4 linked regions of the Coturnix japonica genome follow. The protein of the gene in region 1 interacts with the protein of each later gene in a biochemical or structural test. Links are inferred from orthologs where the notes say so. Each region holds a gene or a part of one and is shown in the gene's direction. Other genes may lie near its edges.

What was found. The genes of interacting proteins can lie anywhere in the genome.
Region 2: the proteins of RBBP8 (region 1) and KLHL15 form a complex in vitro, tested with the Homo sapiens proteins (2 studies listed by BioGRID, with this or other methods). The link is inferred for Coturnix japonica from reciprocal best matches to the Homo sapiens genes RBBP8 and KLHL15.
Region 3: the proteins of RBBP8 (region 1) and SIAH2 form a complex in vitro, tested with the Homo sapiens proteins (2 studies listed by BioGRID). The link is inferred for Coturnix japonica from reciprocal best matches to the Homo sapiens genes RBBP8 and SIAH2.
Region 4: the proteins of RBBP8 (region 1) and CTBP1 form a complex in vitro, tested with the Homo sapiens proteins (3 studies listed by BioGRID and IntAct). The link is inferred for Coturnix japonica from reciprocal best matches to the Homo sapiens genes RBBP8 and CTBP1.

Annotation. Positions count from the first base shown.
Region 1 is NC_029517.1:92,768,397-92,773,178, forward strand, and holds the start of RBBP8 (DNA endonuclease RBBP8), read left to right. Parts: upstream 1-1,866; 5' UTR 1,867-2,000; intron 2,001-4,782. UniProt on the Homo sapiens protein: Endonuclease that cooperates with the MRE11-RAD50-NBN (MRN) complex in DNA-end resection, the first step of double-strand break (DSB) repair through the homologous recombination (HR) pathway.
Region 2 is NC_029516.1:107,481,405-107,486,178, reverse strand, and holds the start of KLHL15 (kelch-like protein 15), read left to right. Parts: upstream 1-1,856; 5' UTR 1,857-2,044; intron 2,045-3,485; 5' UTR 3,486-3,581; intron 3,582-4,774. Other genes in the region: EIF2S3 (eukaryotic translation initiation factor 2 subunit 3), read right to left, coding at 1,250-1,375. UniProt on the Homo sapiens protein: Substrate-specific adapter for CUL3 E3 ubiquitin-protein ligase complex.
Region 3 is NC_029524.1:20,988,420-20,993,278, forward strand, and holds the start of SIAH2 (E3 ubiquitin-protein ligase SIAH2), read left to right. Parts: upstream 1-1,941; 5' UTR 1,942-2,050; coding exon 2,051-2,452; intron 2,453-4,859. UniProt on the Homo sapiens protein: E3 ubiquitin-protein ligase that mediates ubiquitination and subsequent proteasomal degradation of target proteins.
Region 4 is NC_029519.1:76,690,785-76,695,681, forward strand, and holds the start of CTBP1 (C-terminal-binding protein 1), read left to right. Parts: upstream 1-1,979; 5' UTR 1,980-2,087; coding exon 2,088-2,145; intron 2,146-4,897. UniProt on the Homo sapiens protein: Corepressor targeting diverse transcription regulators such as GLIS2 or BCL6. Has dehydrogenase activity. Involved in controlling the equilibrium between tubular and stacked structures in the Golgi complex.

The DNA of each region.
Region 1 (4,782 bases):
CCCTTAGGTGGTGCGACTGCAAGCACAAACAGTGTACATCTGTCATTTCAGCTCAGTTAGTAATCCAGTTGCTTTCTGCAGAATTAAGCCTTTCTCTCAGGACTGTCAAAAAATGTAGTCTTATGAGAAGAGTAACTGTAGTGAAACAGTAGTGCAATAGTCTGAATAGAGCATATGCAAATATCAGCTTTATTTCTTTAACCTATTCTGGTCAACGATGAAAAAACGTGGTGCACAACAGTGGTGAATGTTGATGGTAATTTCCTATTCTGACTACTTACTAGTTATCTATAATTAAAATTCAGAAATGAAGATCTAAAAAAGGATAACTTATGCCACTATAGGATAAGTTTATGAACAAACATAGGTTTCAGGACTTAGAGTCTTCAGCAACATTAAATAATGACAATTTTTTTCAAGATAAAATGTTTAAATTTAGGTACCTAAGTAAAAGATAAAGGAATCTGCCCAAGCTGAGTTTAGCAGGCTGATTATAGGCATCCATGATTCCATTTCCAGGAGTGCTGAACTCCTACAGCTCCTGCTGATTTGAGTCAAGATCTCAGACAATCACAGAAGTAGATCTGAAAATTATGGTTTATATTTGTATTTGAAAGAATGTAATAAGTTGACACAGATGCAGGATTCTGTCGGGGCATATCCTGCTCTCTGCCTACAGCTTGAATAAATATGCAGTACACAGGACTAATATGAAGTATTCTTGCCTCCCAGCCATGAATATGAAGCAGCACAGCTGCTGCTTACAGCCTGTGTGCAATTGTAGTAGAGCGGCTTCTGTATCCTTCAGAGAAGGGTGTTGCCTCACCAGTAGTTCCTCATGGTTATGGAAGCATGTCCCATACCCTCGGTGTTCTGCAATTTGTTTCACCTTGAAATATCATGTGTGGTAATTCAGAGCAGCTTATACTAACCCAGACCTCCATGGAAGGCGTGAGGTGTGCATTTCACAAGCAGGCTCCCAGGATCCTGTCCCTAACATATAGCAAAGCTATGCAGAGTTCTATACATACATGTAGATATGCTTAAGTACTTAGAGCAGGACTGTAATGGGGGTTAGAACAAAAAAAGGGGACAAACCCTTCAGCAAGATCTGTGGTGATAGGAAAAGAGGAAATGGTTTCAAACTGGAACAGGGGAGATTTAGATTGGATGTAAGGAAGAAGTTTTCTACAGTAAGGGTAGTGAAGCAGTGGAACAGGTTGCCCAGAGAGGTGGTGGATGCCCCATCCTTGGAGACATTCAAGGTCAGGTTGGAGGGGCTCTGAGCAACCTGCAGGGGACTAGATGACCTTTAAAGCTCCCTTCCAACTCAAACAACTCTGTGATTCTACGAAGCAAGGCTGAATTGGAGCCTAGTTTCTGTCTTTTCACACTCAAGATTTGGTGTTAGTACTACAAAAAAGGTATTTTCTGACAAATTTCCTTTTGCAGTCACACTGAGCAAGACCTCTAGCCCAGTGCATCAGCACATAAAACGAAAGAAATTTTATAACACCACAGTCTTGCTACACTTACCATGAATGTATCACTCCCTCACCCCTCTGTAAATTATTTTGCTGGAGGCTACATCATTCCCTCTGAGCAGCACGCCGCGAGCTGACGGAGGCGTGAGGCACGAAGCCTCCCCAGTGCTGAGCTGCAGCATGTTGGGCGGCCTTTGATGCAAACTGGTTGTGCTGGTTCCCGGCGCCCCAGGAACCGGTCAGACGAGCCTGTTATGCCAACAAATTCTGGTATGATTCCACACTCTCCAGAATGCAGAAACCTGCCCAGCCAGTTAAATGAAAGGCATATTAGGTTATCCATTGCACATTGTATATATCCTAGGAGCAGCAGATCTCCTCTCGGCACTCTCTAGTGTGGTCCACGGTGGCTTCCTCATCTTACTTACGCTTGAGGTTTATAGCTGGAGGGGAAGTCAATAGTAAACATTTATCACCCCGATCAGGAGCAGAACTTTGCACAATTCAAAGAGAAGGGTGAGTTTTGAAAGCCTTTATTTAAAATTAATTTAAGATAACCTTAAGAAAAAAAAAAAATTATCTGATGCTTAAAATGGTATAATGGCTTCTTACATATATGATCTCCTTAAGGTGTCTGGGTACTGCCAGCCTCTGTGGTGCTTGGTGACAGGATTTTGGGGAGAGCAGCTTTTTGACCCTTCTTGTGCTCAGCTCAACATCTGTCTGCTGGAGTATTTACTGGAGGCAGTTTAAGGGACCGTGCATGGACTGAGAGAGAAACTTCACTGCCAATGAGTTAGTACATAGAGTGTGTCACTTGAGTGTTACCTCTTGGTCTCCTCTTTCATACAGCGTATGTAAGCTAAGTCTTCTTGCTGTGAAGAGGTGTAGTGCGACTACAGCAAGATGTGCTATTACTGGTTCATGTTGGATTACTGTTTTTATTTAATTATTCAGTTTTATGAGGTGAGTTAATTAAAACTAGATTTACATGTTGAGAATTGGCTTCCTGGTAAAATAGGAAATGTGCTTGTCATTCTTACCGCTTCCTTTCTACATAATTACCAGAAGTTTTCCTGTTTAGAACATACCAGGTAACGGTGGTGGCAACAGCAACAAAAAGCAATCCTAGGCATAAAGAGCAGGCAAACCTGAAGGTTGTACCTGTATCAGCAAGTGAATCCATTCACAAGTATGGTGTCAAATAAGAAAAATTAAACAGTGTGAAAACAAAAGCTGTGGAATCTGGTAACTGATTAACTACTGGAGCACAGAAGCACTTGCTGAGCTGAACAGAAAGGAATGAAGACAGGTTTTGTCATGCCTGTTAGGACAAAATAACTCTTTACCTTCACTAAATGTGAATGTTCTCACCATCCATGTAACTGCATTTTTAAAAACCCTTTCACAGTTATTTCTGGCTCCCTGGGAGTCATAATTTAGTCTATCTTCAAGTGAAATTATTATGAGTTTTCTTTCATGATGTTAAAAATGTAAATAAATCAGTGTTCCCAGTGGACACAAGCTGCTAGATGCAAAAAGATCTGTACGGCATTAAGAAAGAAGTTATAGTAGTCACCTAACAGGAAGCTTCAGTTATGGAGGTATTTATTGCCTGCTATTTCCAGGTTGATTAAAAATGAACATTATTATCCTTCTGTAAAATACCAATCTAAAAAATCTCCTAAGCAGCTAAAAAACCCAACGAGTAGCAGATTAAATGATCTTCTCATTAGTCACATTGTATCTCTGTGTTAAAACTATTCTTCCAATATGAAGTAACACAAAGGACACAGAGATTCCCTAAAGTTTTACACTCCCCCAAAACATAAAAACAATAACAACATAATAATAATTTAAAAAAAAAGTTTAAATTTTATCATCATTGTCGATTTTCCTATTAAATACAGAAAGAAATTTTGCAAATTCTGCTCTCCAAAGGAAAAAAAAAAATGGAACTGGCTGAACTGCATGGTTTGAGCAGAGACTCTGTAGAACCTATAAAATGCTACAAGAGAGTTTTGATTTCTAAAGCTACAGTGCTGGAACACAGTACCTTTCTTAAAATTCAGACCAAATAAATCAGCTTTACAAAATACTGTTTGCCATCTTCTCTCTCTGCAATTTGTGTTCTGCTTTATTTGGGTTTTCTTAGCTGCTTCTCTTCTTTTCTCTTCTTTCTTTAGAAGTGGGGGGGGGGGGGGGGGAGGAAGGGGCTTGGAAGGCAGGGGCTGTTGTTCAGATATTTTTTCCCCCTAAAGGTAAGTAAAAAGTTTCCCATTGTGTTATTTTCCTGTCCTGAATTCTTGTCATTCACTACAGCAGAAGGTAGATGGCACGATTTTGTACACAGAGCTGTACATTTTTATTTCAGCCTTCCATGCTGAAATAGCTTTCCAGGGCTGAAATATATATGCAAAGCTATTCATGATTACTCATGACAACCTGAGAAATATCAGTTAGAGCAAAACATTTCTGCACACAGCTCACTCAAACAGGTGCTCTCCTTAGAGTCTGAGGGCTATGAACACTGCACTGTGGTCCTGAAACAGAATCCCTCAGGTCCTGGAATGGGTTTCTTCACCATCAAGACTCTCTAAAATATCTGTGAGTTTCAGCTGAACAAATTCAAGCTGCTTCTGACTACAGATGAGCAGTGAAAGCACTTCAAAGAAGAGAGTCCGTTAAAGTGAACATTGTTAGTGGCATCAGGGAATTTGATCTTGGCTCCATTTCAGAAGTGGCTACGCAAGCAGCTTGAGAAGAATCACATTCAGCTAGTGGGGGGTGATGGAGTGGCAGAAAAAGCAAATAATACCAGTGCCAGACAGCGCAATGGTATGCACTGCATGCATTCCCAGATGTATGAAATCATACCACTCAGAGGACCTCCACTTCCTGCACTCCTAGTCAAACCCTGTTTAGGGGGTTCAGGTAACAGCTGAACTGCCACAAGCTCCTATTCACTGCATACAAAGCTGGGCTCCTTTGATGTCTTCATTGGCAAATGCAACATAAAGTTCATGAAATGAACATGCCTAGATGTTTAGCAACATATTTATCCCTCTGTGCAGATCTGCATCTCAGGGAGGTTGGGAGCACACTGGCCATGGATGTGTATGTGGAATCTGCTAAATCTTATGTAAATAAATAAGGAGTTCACCAGTGTGTATATATATCTATACATACAGGAAAAGAGTGATATATTTATCGTTGTATTCAAAACAATTAAATACCTAAATCAGAGTTCCCCATTACAATTCAAAGCTGGTTTTAATCTTTGCATCTAAATCTATAG
Region 2 (4,774 bases), on another chromosome or scaffold:
GCATTAAGTGAGTAATATGTCCAGGTTCAATTATATTTTTGTCTATCTAGACAACTAACTTAGCACCTGAGCTCACTGAGGCCGGCGATGGGCCCATGACCTGCAGATGGCGCTGTGCAGCCGGATGACAGCGCCATGAATGATGCAAACCCTGTCACCAAGAGACCTGTTCCCGAAGTACAGGATCAGCACAAATGCCATTTTTCTTCAAGGCTGGCATCAAGTTAAGCTCAGCAACAGGCTACGGTGAGCTGAAGGCTTTCAAGGGCCCACTGAACAAAGGACAGAGTGGGGCTGAATGGTAATTCCTGTTGATCAGGAAATGAGGAACTGCTGCACTCTTGCCAGCTGGCAAAATACCCAATGAAAAAGAAAAATAAGAAGCTTTCTGAAGTTACTAATGTGCTTCACTAACAAACATGCTAGGACACACAAAAAAAAAATTCTCATATTCAAAGAATATGAAACATTGCTACTGACAATAACAACAACAAAAAACACCACATGTGCATGTACAAACGTTCTGTAGTTTGTCATGCTGCACCGGGATCTGTCAGGCCGAACATGGCTCCGAGCACCCTGATGTAGCTGTAGGTGTCCCAGCTCCTTGCTGGGTACACGGACTCACAGAATGACCCGGGTTGGAAGGGACCTCAAGGATCATGTAGTTCCAACCCCCCTGCCTGGCAGGGCCACCAAACATCCACATTTACTAGATCAGGTTGCCCAGGGCCCCGTCCAACCTGGTCTTGAACACCTCCAAGGACGGGGCATCCACAACCTCCCTGGACTCGATGGCCTTTAAGGGTCCTTTCCAACTCAAACTATTCTGTGATTCTAAGAGCAGGCACTTCCCTGACAGCTCTACACAGCACACCTGCCCAACTCGGGCACGCCGAGCAGCTCACGCTACCGGCCCGTTCGGAGGAGGCGGCTCCCTATTTACCACAGTGTGAGCCCTCGGCACCCCATGCCGGCCAGCCACGCGGAGGCCGCCGTGACCTGCCCAGTTCTCAGCGCTCCCCTCAGCCTGCACCCACCCACCCACCCAGCCAGCCGGCCTCCAGAGGCGCCCAGCAGCCCGGCCGCAGCCACCCCCGCCCGGCCGCACAGCCTTCAGCTCGGCTCCCGGCCCTCCCGTCGTCGGCAGCCCCGTGGAGAGCAGCGAAGCCTTTCGCCCTCCTCTCCCCGCCCCCCGTCCCGCAGAGCCCCCCCGTCGCCGTGCGGGCGCCCCCCACGCGGGCCGCACCAAGGTGGCGAGGTCCTGCCGGGAGAGGTGCGGCTGCCCCAGCGTCACTCCCGCCTCGTCTCCCGCCATCTTGGCCGCAAGAGGAAGCGGGGCTGCCCGCACGGCCGCCTGACCCCTCGCTTCCATTGGCGCCGCCTCCACCACGCCCGGCACTCTCGGCCCGACACGGCCGGCCCGGGCTCAGGGACGCTCGGCGCTGTGCGGCTCGTAGCCGCCCTCAGTCCCGCCGCGAGGCGACAGCGGCTCAGGCGCGGCAATGGGCAGCCCCGGGTGATGCAACCGGAGCCGTCATGGAAGCGGGGCTGTGCGCATGCGCCTTGCGGCCGCCGCGGGGTAACGGCGGAGGGTTGTAGGGGTGGTGTGTGTGTGGCTGTGGGTAATGGCTGCCGGGGGAGCGCTGCCTTCGTGTGGGCCCTGGTGGCGCAGTGGTTAAGGACGCCGCTTTGCAACAGCGGAGGCTCTGGGTTCGAATCCCCCCTGTGGCGCAAGTGGTAGACGTGCCCACGCTCTGCTACACAGGAGACTCGAATCCCAGGGGTTTGGACTCTCGATGATCTCTAAGGTCCCTTCCAACCCGCATGATACTATGATACTGTGATACTATGACGGGGGCTGCCTCTCACAATGGCAGGCTGCACGGGCGCGGGGTCACCGCCCGCTGCTGAGTCGCAGTAGCTGCGGTGGGAGGATCAGCATGAGGCGCTCCCTGCCCCAACGCGGGAGGCTTCGGGCTGTGCTGGTGGATGTGAGGACGCCGGCGCTTGTCGATGCGTGTCTAACAGCATGGAAACGTAGGTGTGTTGGGGGGTTTGAGCGGTGTGGTGCAGGCAGGAGAAGGGGTGAAGTTAAGGCAGCGTGTGCCTGTATGTACTGCAAGTGAGCATCAATGGTGGCCATCAGCTTATTGGCACTAATGGTAAATGCCGCTGTACATGTGTTAGCCATCTCCGCTGGCCATAGGCCTTGCCATAGTTAGTGTGTCCTCTGTGTTGTCTAAAGCCCAACACAAGCAGCCTGAGTCTTTGATTGCAGACAACTAGCACCTGTTGTTTTCAGAGTCAGCTGAGCCTTGCATTCCTTAAAAACCAAGTAAAATCGCCAATACACTGATGACACACAGTCTGGAGACCAAGGTCCAAATTCACAACCCTCCCCCGTGAGAAACTGAACTGATTCCTCCTCTGTGGAAAAGCCTTAGAAGACATTGTTGCCAACTAGATTTCTTTGATCAGAGCAACTGCTTTCAATACAAGTAACCAACTGCATCACATGCATTCACATTCTTCAGCAGTGTTTTTGCCGGCTAGAAAGTGTGGAGCTTCACAGATTTTGCCTGACTACTCAGGTCCAAGCAGTAATTCCCAAGCACCCAGCAATATGATTGGTGGAAATGTGTGCCAAACCAGTATGTCTGGTTTAACAAGACTCGTCACTTCCCACTTCCACAAATGCCATTTCCATTCTTTCCTGATAGTATTTCCTGATACACCTATAGCAAATGCATGGCCAGCATTCTTGTTTTGAAGGAAAGGATACAAGAATGTGGTAATAAACCACAACGATGTTGCTAGTGACTGAATACATCTTCCTACCAAATCATTTTGCACGTTTGGTCTTGAAAATAAATGTTCATTTCTAATCTTCCATTAGACTATGTGATGTTGTACGATTTTTGTATAAAATATCTTGCTTCTGAGAAAACCATATATGCTTACGACCAAGATAGACAGAGCAAGCATGGAGAATATGATGCAATACTCGAATGTGGTTGCCTCAGCATGAGGCACGTATGATCACTGATGGAAATGAGCTGAAAATACTGGATTCTGTAGGTACTTACTGCTGTAATTATGCAATAACACAGCACAGTATAGGGTTATAGAAACAGTTGTTGCAGCAGCCTGTAGAAATGATTTACTCTTTCCCAATAAGTGTCAGAAATCTGAAGAAATACACTATTATTATGTTTAACAATGAAATTGTCTGCTTTACACCTTCTGTCTTATTATTTTGCTTTACTGTACTGAGTAATGTTTGTAGCATGAAGAAAAATGCAAGACTAAAGACTGTCTAGGACCTAAGTTTAACAGCCCTGTAGTTTTAATTAGGAGATTGAAACCTTCAGTACAAGTAAATTATTCAGTATGGAGGAGTCACTTTTATTTATGCTCTTAAATGCTGTCACAGCTGATGCATGGTTGTGTTTGTTTATAGTTTTCTCTTTGTTTTTTACTAGGTTTGAATCCATTTCTGCTGCAGTGTGTAGGAGCAACTTGAAGATCATCTTACACCTCAGCTTACCACAAACTGCAAACAGCAAAATGACAGTCAGGTAAAACCAGAACAGCCCTGCCAGTCTTTTTTATCCTTATTGACTTACACAGGTTGAAAGTCTGAAGAATGAAGTGTGATGTTTTGTTGCGTTGATTCTGTATGTGAGAAATAGATTTTCTGCTCTAGATTCTTTTCGCCAGATCACAAGATGTCAGTGGTGTGTGCTCGGTTTGGCAGAAGACAGACCCAGTGAGTAAAGGAGAACATTTTTAATGCTCTTTTTGCAGGGTCTGCTGTGATAGGAAAAGGGAAAATGGTTTTAAACTAAAATGGGAGATTAGGTTGGGTATAAGAAGAAAAACCTTTTTATAATAGGGGTAAGTGAAGCACTGAAACAGGTTGTCCAGCCCAGAGAGGTGGTAGATGGCCCATCCCAGGAGACAGAGAAGGTGAGGCTGAACAGGGCTCTGAGCACCTGATGTAGCTGTAGCTGTTCATTGCAGGGGAGTTGAACCAGACGTCCTTTAAAGGTCCCTTCCAACTCATTCGAATCACAGAATCACAGAATTGTAGGGGTTGGAAGGGACCTCTAGAGATCATCGAGTCCAACCCCCTGCCAAAGCAGGCTCCCTACACCACATCACACAGGTAGGTGTCCAGGCGGGTCTTGAATATCTCCAGAGAAGGAGACTCCACCACCTCCCTGGGCAGCCTGTTCCAGTGCTCCGTCACCCTCACTGTAAAGAAGTTCTTCCACACATTCGTGTGGAACTTCCTATGCTGTAGTTTCATCCCATTACCCCTAGTCCTGTCCCCACGCACTACTGAAAAGAGACCAGCCTCACCACTATGAAAGATCATTTAATTCCATGTCTTTCCTTTGGGACTTAGACAGGAACTGCTTTGATAATGGTCAGTTATATCACCTTGGTTGCACGAGTAACAGGTTTTGAAACAGCAACTGGGGAAATGGGGCAAATTTACTGTGTGAGTTAAGTGTAGGAGGTGGAGTGGTATGAAGCTGGCTGAGCAGAGAGAGGTCAGGTCACCTGTATGAAGGAGTCGGTGAATGGGAGCGGGTTGTTTGTAGTGTGGAGTAAGTAGGTGTGTAGGAGCCGTGGGAGGCAGTGGGAATAGCAGTGGGAATAGCAGTGGGTAGTCTTTTGTGAAGCTGTGCATGCAACAGCAGGTTCATTGTGTGAAGCAGTGAGAGGTGGGATAGACATTCAGATTGAGGGTGGCAGTCAGAGA
Region 3 (4,859 bases), on another chromosome or scaffold:
AACACCCACCCGTTCCAGTGTGTTTGTGAAAAGGCCGCTGTGTTTGCTCTTTCCTGTACTGCAGAACACACAACAGGTCACAAAACCAGGACGGTTCTTCTATGGGTAAAAATGAGACATTGTCATAACGTCACGGGCTGGGGGAAGCTTAACGGGCGGTGATCAGAAGGTCATGGTTGGAACATCAGCATGTGTGTATGAGACGTTCTGCTTTGAAACAAAAGGACACACACACGGAGCTGTGCTGGGGACCCCCCTGCCCCACAGCCCCATGTAGGTTTCTCCCAGGCCGGACAAGCACACACACACCACGTCCAAAAACTGCTGATTTCTGTCTGCCCCACTCCGCTGTTACACTCCATTTGTTTGGGGGTGGGGATCAGAAAAGGCCTCTGCACCCCAGGATTTGGAGAGAACCTTGGGGTCCCTTTATTCTCAGAGCTCCAAAGAACTTCCACACCTATGTCAAAGACTCTCAAGAGAGAATGGCAGAGGAAAAGCAGCATGTTGGCCATGTAACTCAAGAGAGGACAGAGCACAGCACAGCTCACCCCACACTATGGCTCGTTCTGGCTTTGCCGTGGCACAGCCTTCAGTGTGTCTGAATGCACTGCACATTACTGAGTGCCAAAGGAAAAATAAAACCAGAGCTGCAGTCAAAGCATTGTTCTCTGGTACCTTGGACTGCATCATCTTGCAAAGCTCGGCAGTGCTTCACAAGGAAGAAAAAAGCAGAACTCCACTAACACTGCACCTCCTTTTAATGAGAGCACGGGCAGTGTCTCAGTGGAACTCCTCGCAGGGCGCACAGCCACCAATGAGTCACACATGGTGCACGCCCGAGCAGCGATAACAGCACCATTCTGGGAAGTGCAGCCACACCTCGGAGGAAAGCGTTGCTCATTTAAGGGCAAGAGGAGTCAAGTCAGCAGCAGAACTCTCGGGAAAATGCTGTATGTCATGTGCCCGATGAGCTGACGGGGAATTCAAACCACAGCCCTGTTCATGGCCGCCCCGTCCGCTGCGCTGCTCAGCGGCACCACGCAGCGCTTTGTGCGCCCAGAGCCGCATCCAGCCCGGCGCAGGGACAGACAGCAACCACGGCAGCGGGCAGGGAAGCGCGCAGCTTCAGCCCCGGCTCTGCCCGCTTCCTTCTTCAGCCCCGCCGGCAAATGAAAGGGACGCGGGGACATTCCCACCCCCGGGCCGTCCTCACTTCTCCTCCGTTACCAAAACACAACGCGTTTAAACCGGTGTTTTATTTTCAACATTCTGTTACGGGGGGGATGAAAACAGCCCCATTTCTTTTACCCGACCTCCGCCCCCAAGCAGCGCTGCAGCACTGTTCCATTCTCCATCAGACCCATCTCTCATCGTTCCGTCCTCCCGCTCGCTCCGCTCTCACGCCCCGTCCCGTCCCCGCGAGGAGCCGCGCTCCTCCGCCGCTGCTCGCGCTCAGCACGGCGGCTCAGCGGTCCTCACGAGGGCCGGCACGGGCAGGGATCGGGCCCGAGCCCACGCGGATAACGGCGCCCGGTGGGTTTCCTCAGCCCCGCGGGGCGTCAGCGCCACCGGCGCCCCTTCATCCCAGCGCGGCCGGACGCGGAGCGCAGCGCCCTCGGTTACCGCAGCGCCCTCGGTTACCGCAGCGCCCTCGGTTACCGCAGCCCCGGACGGGCCCGGCGGACGGAGCCGCGTTCTCTCCCGGCATCGCAGCGTACCGGGCGGGGCGGGGCGGTGCGGGGCACGGTGCTCGGGCCGCCGCTGACCGCTCCCGAGTCTCGCCCGCTCCGTCCTGGCACCGCAGCCGTGGGCGCGGCGCTCCCCTGCCTCCTCCTCCTCCTCATCCTCATCCTCCTCCTCCTCCTCCTCCCCCGCTCCCCCCGCCGCCCCGCTCCGCTCCCCGCCCCGCCCGTCCCCCGGAGCATGCTCGCTGCGGCGGGGCCGGGCCGGAGGCTGCGCGCGGCCGCCTCTTGCGTCAGCGGAGCGTTCCGGGCGGGCGCGTCGGGTCCCGAGAGCCGCGGCCCGATGGTGGCGGCAGCGCGGCGCCATGAGCCGCCCTTCGTCCGCCGGGCCGGGCTCTAACAAACCCTGCGGGAAGCAGCCGCCGCCGCACGCCCCCGCCCCGGCCGCCGCCGCGCCCGCTCCCGCCGCCGCCACCATCGCCGCGTCCGGTGCCGGATCCTCCGCCGTGCCCGCGGCCGCCGCCGTCCTCTCCGGGCCGGGCGGGCCCGTGTCTCCGCAGCACCACGAGCTGACGTCGCTGTTCGAGTGCCCCGTGTGCTTCGACTATGTGCTGCCGCCCATCCTGCAGTGCCAGGCCGGGCACCTGGTCTGCAAGCAATGCCGGCAGAAGCTGAGCCTCTGCCCCACCTGCCGGGGCTCGCTGACCCCCAGCATCAGGAACCTGGCCATGGAGAAGGTGGCCTCGGCCGTGCTCTTCCCCTGCAAGGTGAGCGGACGGGGCGCCGGGTTGGACGGGACCCCCTTTCTGCTCACAGCCCTGCTCCTATTTCAGACGTGACAAAAACAACTCGTTTTCTCTCATCGTTGAAATAAGCGCAAGTGGTAAATGCGCTCGTAGGTACGGAGCTGACTTAATGCGGACACAGGGCGGGACGCAGGGCTTCATCTTTTGGAAAAGAAACCTCGCTCTTCGCAGCTTCCATAGGAGCAGCGATGCTCTGCGTCCCGAGAGCTGGGGCAGGGTTAGGGACACCTCCCTTAGGGAGGGTCCTGCTGAGATCCTTTAACTTGTCACCTCTGCCTGGAGCTGCTGCCCCATTTCTGAGCCTTCTTGTGGTTCTGATCCCTCTGAAGAAAAGGGAATCCAGTGAGGATTCATTTCGCTGTACTCTTTATGTTTAGTCCGAGGGCAAGATGTGGAATCCTTTCTGCACTCCACATCCAACCGTAATGTTTTGCTTTTAGAACCACTAGGCGTAGTGAGGTTGTGTATCCATTGAAAGGGCTCCGGCAGCATCGCACTGAGCGCTGCCCCCTTCGGCCGGGCGCAGGGACAGGCACTGCAGCCTCGGGCCGCCGCTGCTTCGCTGTGCAGCTGGGAGGGAAGAGCAGGGATGGACTCAGCGTGTCATTCCCGGCTCTGCTGCAGATTTCCCCTGCAGCTTCAGACAAGGTGCTTTAATCCCATATACACCCTGCCTTCATTCACTGACCTGGCTCTGCTGAGCACCTTCAAGCTTAGCCAATGTTTTCAGAATGCTTTCAGGCACTCACATTACCTGTAAGGGGAAGTCCAGGGTAACGCGAGTGAAGTGACGTACATAGCAACAACACGGAATGCTAAGTCATTATGTGGTGATGGCTGCAGGGCTGCCTGCTTCCTCTTAGGAAGGTGAATGTGGTGCAAGTAGTGCTGTGACGAAAGGTACTCGTAAAAGTGGAATGCTGGGAGCGAGAGAAAGGCAATGTGAGAGCACGGAGCAGTCACATCAGCTCCGGCATTTGTGGTGCACCAGCACTGCCTGCACCCTGCGCTCCTGCCTCAGGAAGGACACAGGAGAAGTGGAAAAGGTAGAGCCGTCAATGAGATGGGCGGTATCATATGACCTGCACGCAGGGAAAGACCAACAGGCTCTTTGGTTTGAATGAGGATATGGTAAATATCGGTGACATGTGCCAAACAGCATGAAGGCAACAAGTGCTCTGTGTTCCCAGAAGATCTGTGAGAGTCCCTTACAAACCCAGAGCGCTCCGTGAATCTGTTCACAACCTCCTGCTCACCAAACAAAACTGCTGCTGTGTGTTCAGGAGCCAACAGAAGGAGGTGGGTCACAGCAAAGGAAAAACCACAGCTATTTCCTCAGCTCTCTTCCTTGTGTGTTCACCACTGGTCACTTTCTGATACAGGCTGACACTACGCAGACGTTTGCTTTTGCCCATCCAGCAGCTTACATGTTCTTACTGCTTTTCTAACAGGGTCAGACCGAGAGCGGTTCTTCAGCAAAGTGCAAAGCGATTACATTGCCAACAGGGGTATGAATGTAGAGTGAAAACAGCAGAACAGTGAGAGTGGAAGCATAGAACCCAGCGGCAGGGAGCCGTGCTCTGCATGGTGGGTTTCTGCCTGCAGCAGGAGGAGCCCTGGTTGCACCGCAGCACACCTCTGTGCTCCTGTCACAGGTGGATAAATCCTGTCACAGAGGATTAAGCAGCAGAGCACACGTTATGGCTTATAAAGCAAGCTCTGTAGAAGCACAAGGTCTCGTTTCTGTCCCAGCAGTTGTAGCACTGTGCTGCAGTGTGGGTGATTTGGCTGCAGTAAGGAGGACTGTGGCGTCTGCATCTCAGGCATTTCACTCTTTGAGCTGAAACTAATTGTGTTTGCATTTAACCCCAAAATACGCTGTTAAACTTTGATGAATTTGGACTTTGCTTAGTTGAACATTTTACAAAAAGTCTGTCCAGACTTGTGTTTCCCCAGAGATTGTCTTGTTCCTTCAAACATTCTCTCACCTTTGGTCTCAGAGCACAGTCCCTGACCCAAAGAAGCGTCCTACCTCCTGTAGGCAGCCACACGTGGGCTGTGATGGCGGGACCGCATGAGCAGAGTTGCAGAAGTCTCTCCAGCTGTCTGCAGATGGGGGGAGCTGTGCTCCTGCTCAGAGCAAAAGACGCGTTTCTCCTTAGAGGTAGTGAGGAAGAAACGTGTTCAGTGCAGACAGCGACTCGGTGTTGAAAAGGAAAAGCATCCCTGTTTGCTGAAAGCAGATTAACCTTTGGAGGTGCCCGATGACATTAAGAGCAGTCACGCGGTGCTCACTTGTGATGAGCTCTGTGCTCCATAAAAAATCAGCATCTCTCTTCCCACTCTTTGAAACCGTGGTGCTAAAACT
Region 4 (4,897 bases), on another chromosome or scaffold:
ATTAGAATGTTTTTGTTTTGCTGGGGAATGTTTCCCATATCATCTTCTCTTTGGATTAGAACACGAAATATAATAAAATTGTGTGAGGGTTACATTTAACACTGTGTTAATATGTTAATTTAATTTTTGCTCAAACGTATTTTTTAAAACTTACAACATCTTGCCGTGGATAAAAACCAAACAAACAGGGCTTTAAACAAAGCTACTTGATTTATGCGGTACGCTTTGAAGCTACTGTAGATGGATAGAAAGCAGCTGGTGACACTTCCAGCGGTAGGGCAGTAGTTACAGATGGGCTGCTTTTTTACAGCTGTCAGCCAACTTCGTACATAGAATGACTACAGTGGAAAAATCTTGGGCTGAATGAATAAACAAAACTGAGCGCAAGGAGGACAGAAGGCATATATGTTTCTACAAGACAGGAAATTAAATTAGCTATAAAAATTTAAACCTAGATTAGCATTGGAAACATTCAGTGTATTCTGGTTTTTGTTTCTTGTCCTCTTTTATTTTCCTTCTTCTGTGTCTATTGGAGGTGGTAGGTTGTAAAACAAAGGTAACAGGCAAAGAAATGCTAGTTTGGGGTTGACACGAGTTTGGCACATTGACTGAAGGAAAGGCAGGTAGCTATGGCTAATTTTAAAAAGCATTTAACCGCATGTTAGATTTGGTGTAATGCTCATGTAATCTTGAAGCCATGTTCAATATTGAAGGATGTTGTATTTTGCAGGAATAATCAATGTGAGGCACTATAACAGGAAATTTACTATACAGCAGTGTTTTGTTTTATTTTTAAAGAGAAATTTGGCTTCAGCATTCTTCATCAATTTCTGCTGTCACGATGATTATGTTCAGCTGTAGTCAGACATTGTGCAGAACATTAGAACTCTTGAATCTGAGGATAAAGGAAAAGGTGGAGGGAGAGTGGGTGGGAGGATGAGGTTGAATAAAGCGATAAAAGCATGATGAATATTGCACATTGCCTTCATCTTCAAGTGAAAATAAACACGGAGAGGAGCTTTGTTTTAAAAATCCAAAAGCAGCAAGCAGAGTACGGCTGGAAGAAGATAGCTGTTTTAATGCAAATGTGCAGTGCTTCATATTCAAAATATTTTTGTCACTTCACCTCAAGAGTCTTTGTGAGGTGTTGACTAAATGTGCACTTGTTTGATTTGATTAAAAAAAAAAAAAAGGAAGAAATCAAGGAAGAAACAAGCAGATTTCTAGGTTTGGTCACTTGCAAAGCCATGTAATGTTCACCACTGATGTTGAAAGCTCCTGGGAAGGAATAAAAGGAAACAGGGAAATGAATTATTTGGCCTGTGTTTGTATGCACCATGCTTGTAATACGTGTTTGGTTCTCAGAGCCTATTAAGTTCTTACAGGGGACAAATGCACTGCTCTTATTATGCTTTTCCAAGGATCTCTATAGCTTTACCCATTCACTTGCTCCTGTGTGTTTTATTTACAGTGTACATTTTGGTGAGAATTTTGATGCGGGATGTTTCTCCTCTCCCCACCCCCTTCCTGCAGGCTTCGTGTTGTGTTACCCTTCTGCTGTCTTGCCCAGCTACGCAGGATCTGAAAAGTGCTTAGTTGTGTGTGCTGCCAAAGAGCTTGCCTAGTCATGCATGAAGCTGTTTTAAATGCCATTTGCTTGATATAGATGTTGGCAGTCTGTGCTCTCACTGGGATGCACATCTTCAGTTATATGTTTCTTGAATCGTGACCCTAAACTTCCCAGTATCAAACTCTAATTTATTCTAATATCATGGAGTTAAGGATGAGAGGAGCATTTCCTTGATTGCTTTGTTATGATGCCTTCCTATGGGGAAGCTTATTGTGAAATCCCAGGATACCAAGTATATTTAGGAACTGTGAATGTTTTCTTATTCTTTTAAGTATACATAGGTCACTCTTCTGGAAAGGGGTGGGAAAAAAACCCACTATATTTAAGAAATCTGTCTTTCTATTCACAGGTTTAAAAAACAAACAAGTTTATAAAAGGCAGAAAACGTTTCTGAGTTGTGGCTGACTTGAAGTCCATCATCAAACTGTGCGGAGACGTTCTCTGAGCTTCCCCTCTTATGTCTCTAATGGACAAACACAAAGTGAAGCGGCAACGGCTGGATCGCATATTTGAAGGTTGGATATTTCAATTTCTAAGGTTGCATTCATTTAGTGGATTATAAATATTTCTGAAGGTCAGAACTCTGCTCGTTTGGTCATTCAGTGTATTTTTTTAATTGAGATGTGTTTCCTGTTGAAATCCTGTTAACTGTGCAGAGGTGTTGGGTTTTGATGAATAAAAGCAAAGAGTGTGGGAACTCTGTACTGTTGTCCAGTTCCGTTTCCTTCCAGCTCAGCATTTTAAAACGTTCTGCCAAGATGTTGTGAAAGCTTGTGGGTTTGTATAAAATAACAACCACAAAAGGATAAGGAGACCACATAATCCTCTCCAGGGTCTTTCTCTACAGATATGCTTCATATAGATTGATTTAAGAGCCCATATCTGGTCTTAGTGAGGAAATGGGAAAGAAGTTAAAGAAAAAAATCCCAGAAGACCCCCAAACTTAATGAACGTTAATAAAAATACCAAGATCTTGTGAAAGGAGTGGAATCACTTGCATCAGTCAATTAATCTTGAATCACAGTTGTGTGAATTGTATGTTCCTGGTGTTCTTTGTTTTCTTTCAGATTTGATGTGAAAACAGGCTGAGGGATAAGTTGTATTTTGATGAATGCACAAGTGGTTGAGGCTTAATGATGTTTTTTTAATACTAGATGCTTGTTTCTTCTTAGAAGGGATCTGTTAACTTCTTTACCAAACCCGTTCTGGTATGACTGGAGTAAGTGTACAGACTGTTGGATGAGTAGTTTTTGCATCATGCCTAATACTGAAGCAGTAAACTGCATTTGAAGCAGCTGTGTTGGTCGTCAGCAGTCACTGGTAGCTTTGTTGTATCCTCCTCTTTTCCCCTTTCTTTGTTACAATATGAGTGTACCCATATAATGAACCAAAGTGGAAGAGGACCAATACTAAAAATACAATATTTTGTTTGAGAATTTTTTTATGTAGGTGAATTCCTCAGTCTAGGTCACAGCTGACTCACGAGTTGCATTGAAATAGCAGTTGGAAAGGAGGAATGAGGGGCACATGGACAGTTCCTTATGACAAAGCCAGAGAAAGGCATTTCATCAGAGTACCAGAGGGTACAATTTCGTAAGTGATGTAATCTCAACAAAAAGTAGCTTAGTTCACCCTGAATACTTGATCCAAATTGGTCTCATGTCACTAGTTGACTGATTGGCCAAGGTGTCAGCTTTATCTGCTCACCAAGAACTGGGGAGCTGGCTGTTGAGGGTGGGAAATTGGGAAGGATGTCCCTTCCTCTGGACAACTCTGTTGTAGGATCAGATGGAAGTGACCTATGGGTGAGATGCCACAGTGCTTTGTGCTGTTCATCCTTTGGTCCTAGGTCCTCATTCTAGAGTCTCTGTGTCTGACCTTACCAGAAAACTTAAAGGTATATATTTATTTTATTTTTGCCTATTTTAGTGTGAGCTGAATTAGCAAAGCATGAGGAGACGGAAATGAGAGAGGACAGAGAAACCTGTCCCTTCTGAGGGCACCCACAGCTGAACTGAACTCCACCATTCTCTTAGGGTCACTATATTTGTCAGTTGGATGACGTAAGAGAAATTAGTTGTGATGATGTGGCAAAGAATGCAGTCGGGGTGGAGGTGGCAGACCGTTAGGTTCTGTGACTGTATAAAACAGCAGCGGCTTCCCTCAGGCTGTGTGTTCACATGTTGTGACACTGTTTAATCACAGCCATTTGTGTGGCTTGTTTTCCCAGCCTTACACAATTCACTGCATCCTAAAATCTATCTGTGTGGCCATGCGCTGCTGGGAATTGATGCAGTTGAAAAATACAGCAGGAATGAAGTTTTTTAGCCACTTTGACTTCCTAATCCCCTTTACCATATGCTGGATAAATGCTGTGTTGTGGGAGTGGGAAGATGAGGAAGAGGGTAAACAAGAGAAGAGGGGAAGAAAAAATGGATATGGAAAAATGCTTAAGGTTTTCTGGGTACAGGAATTCAGTTTGACTGTGTAAAACGTCAGATCTATATTCTGCTCCTGATGTTCTTAGAGGTTTGTAAACATCTCTGGCTGATGTTGTTAGATCCGTGCCAGTGTGTAATGTAGGATAAAAATGAGGGGGCAGGTTTGTTTTTAGAAAAGCTGTTCTCTCTATGTGGTCCTGTTCAGGTTTAAGAATCAAGGAGTTCTCGGCACGTATTTCCCATAACACAGCCTAAGTATTTTATATTTTAGGAGGATGCATAATGTTTCTTTTAAAGCTCAGGAAACTTAATGAGCTGTACAGCTATTAAAGGTGGCTTATCTTCTCTGTCAGCTTTTTTTTTGTTCAACAGTCCCCGTAAAGCTTTCTTTTCTCTCAACCTTTTGGCTCAGAAAAAAAGAATTATTTTTAAGATGGATTTTATTGCAAGCTCACTAAAAGCAGGTAGCGGTGGTTTGCTAATTACTGCTGCTGTTTATATGTATATTTTTAAATTGTTTAACATAAAAACTTGTGATGAGCAGGCGTTTGTGCGTTATTGCATCTATAAAGAGATGCCAGCGGTTTTGTGACGCACCACATTTCATTACTGTTTGTCTCACTGCTCAAAGGAGGTGATAGCGAGTTGAAATTCAGTTGCTAAAAATTGAATGGTGTGGGACTGATTCCCCAAATGAGATGTTGGTGCAGTGAACATGTGCACAGGGCTGCACACAGCTTGTTCTGTGCAGTTAATGGATCGCCACAAGCGCTCCTGGAAGTTACAGGGCTGTGCACTTTAAGTGCTCTGTGAGTTGAACTGTTTT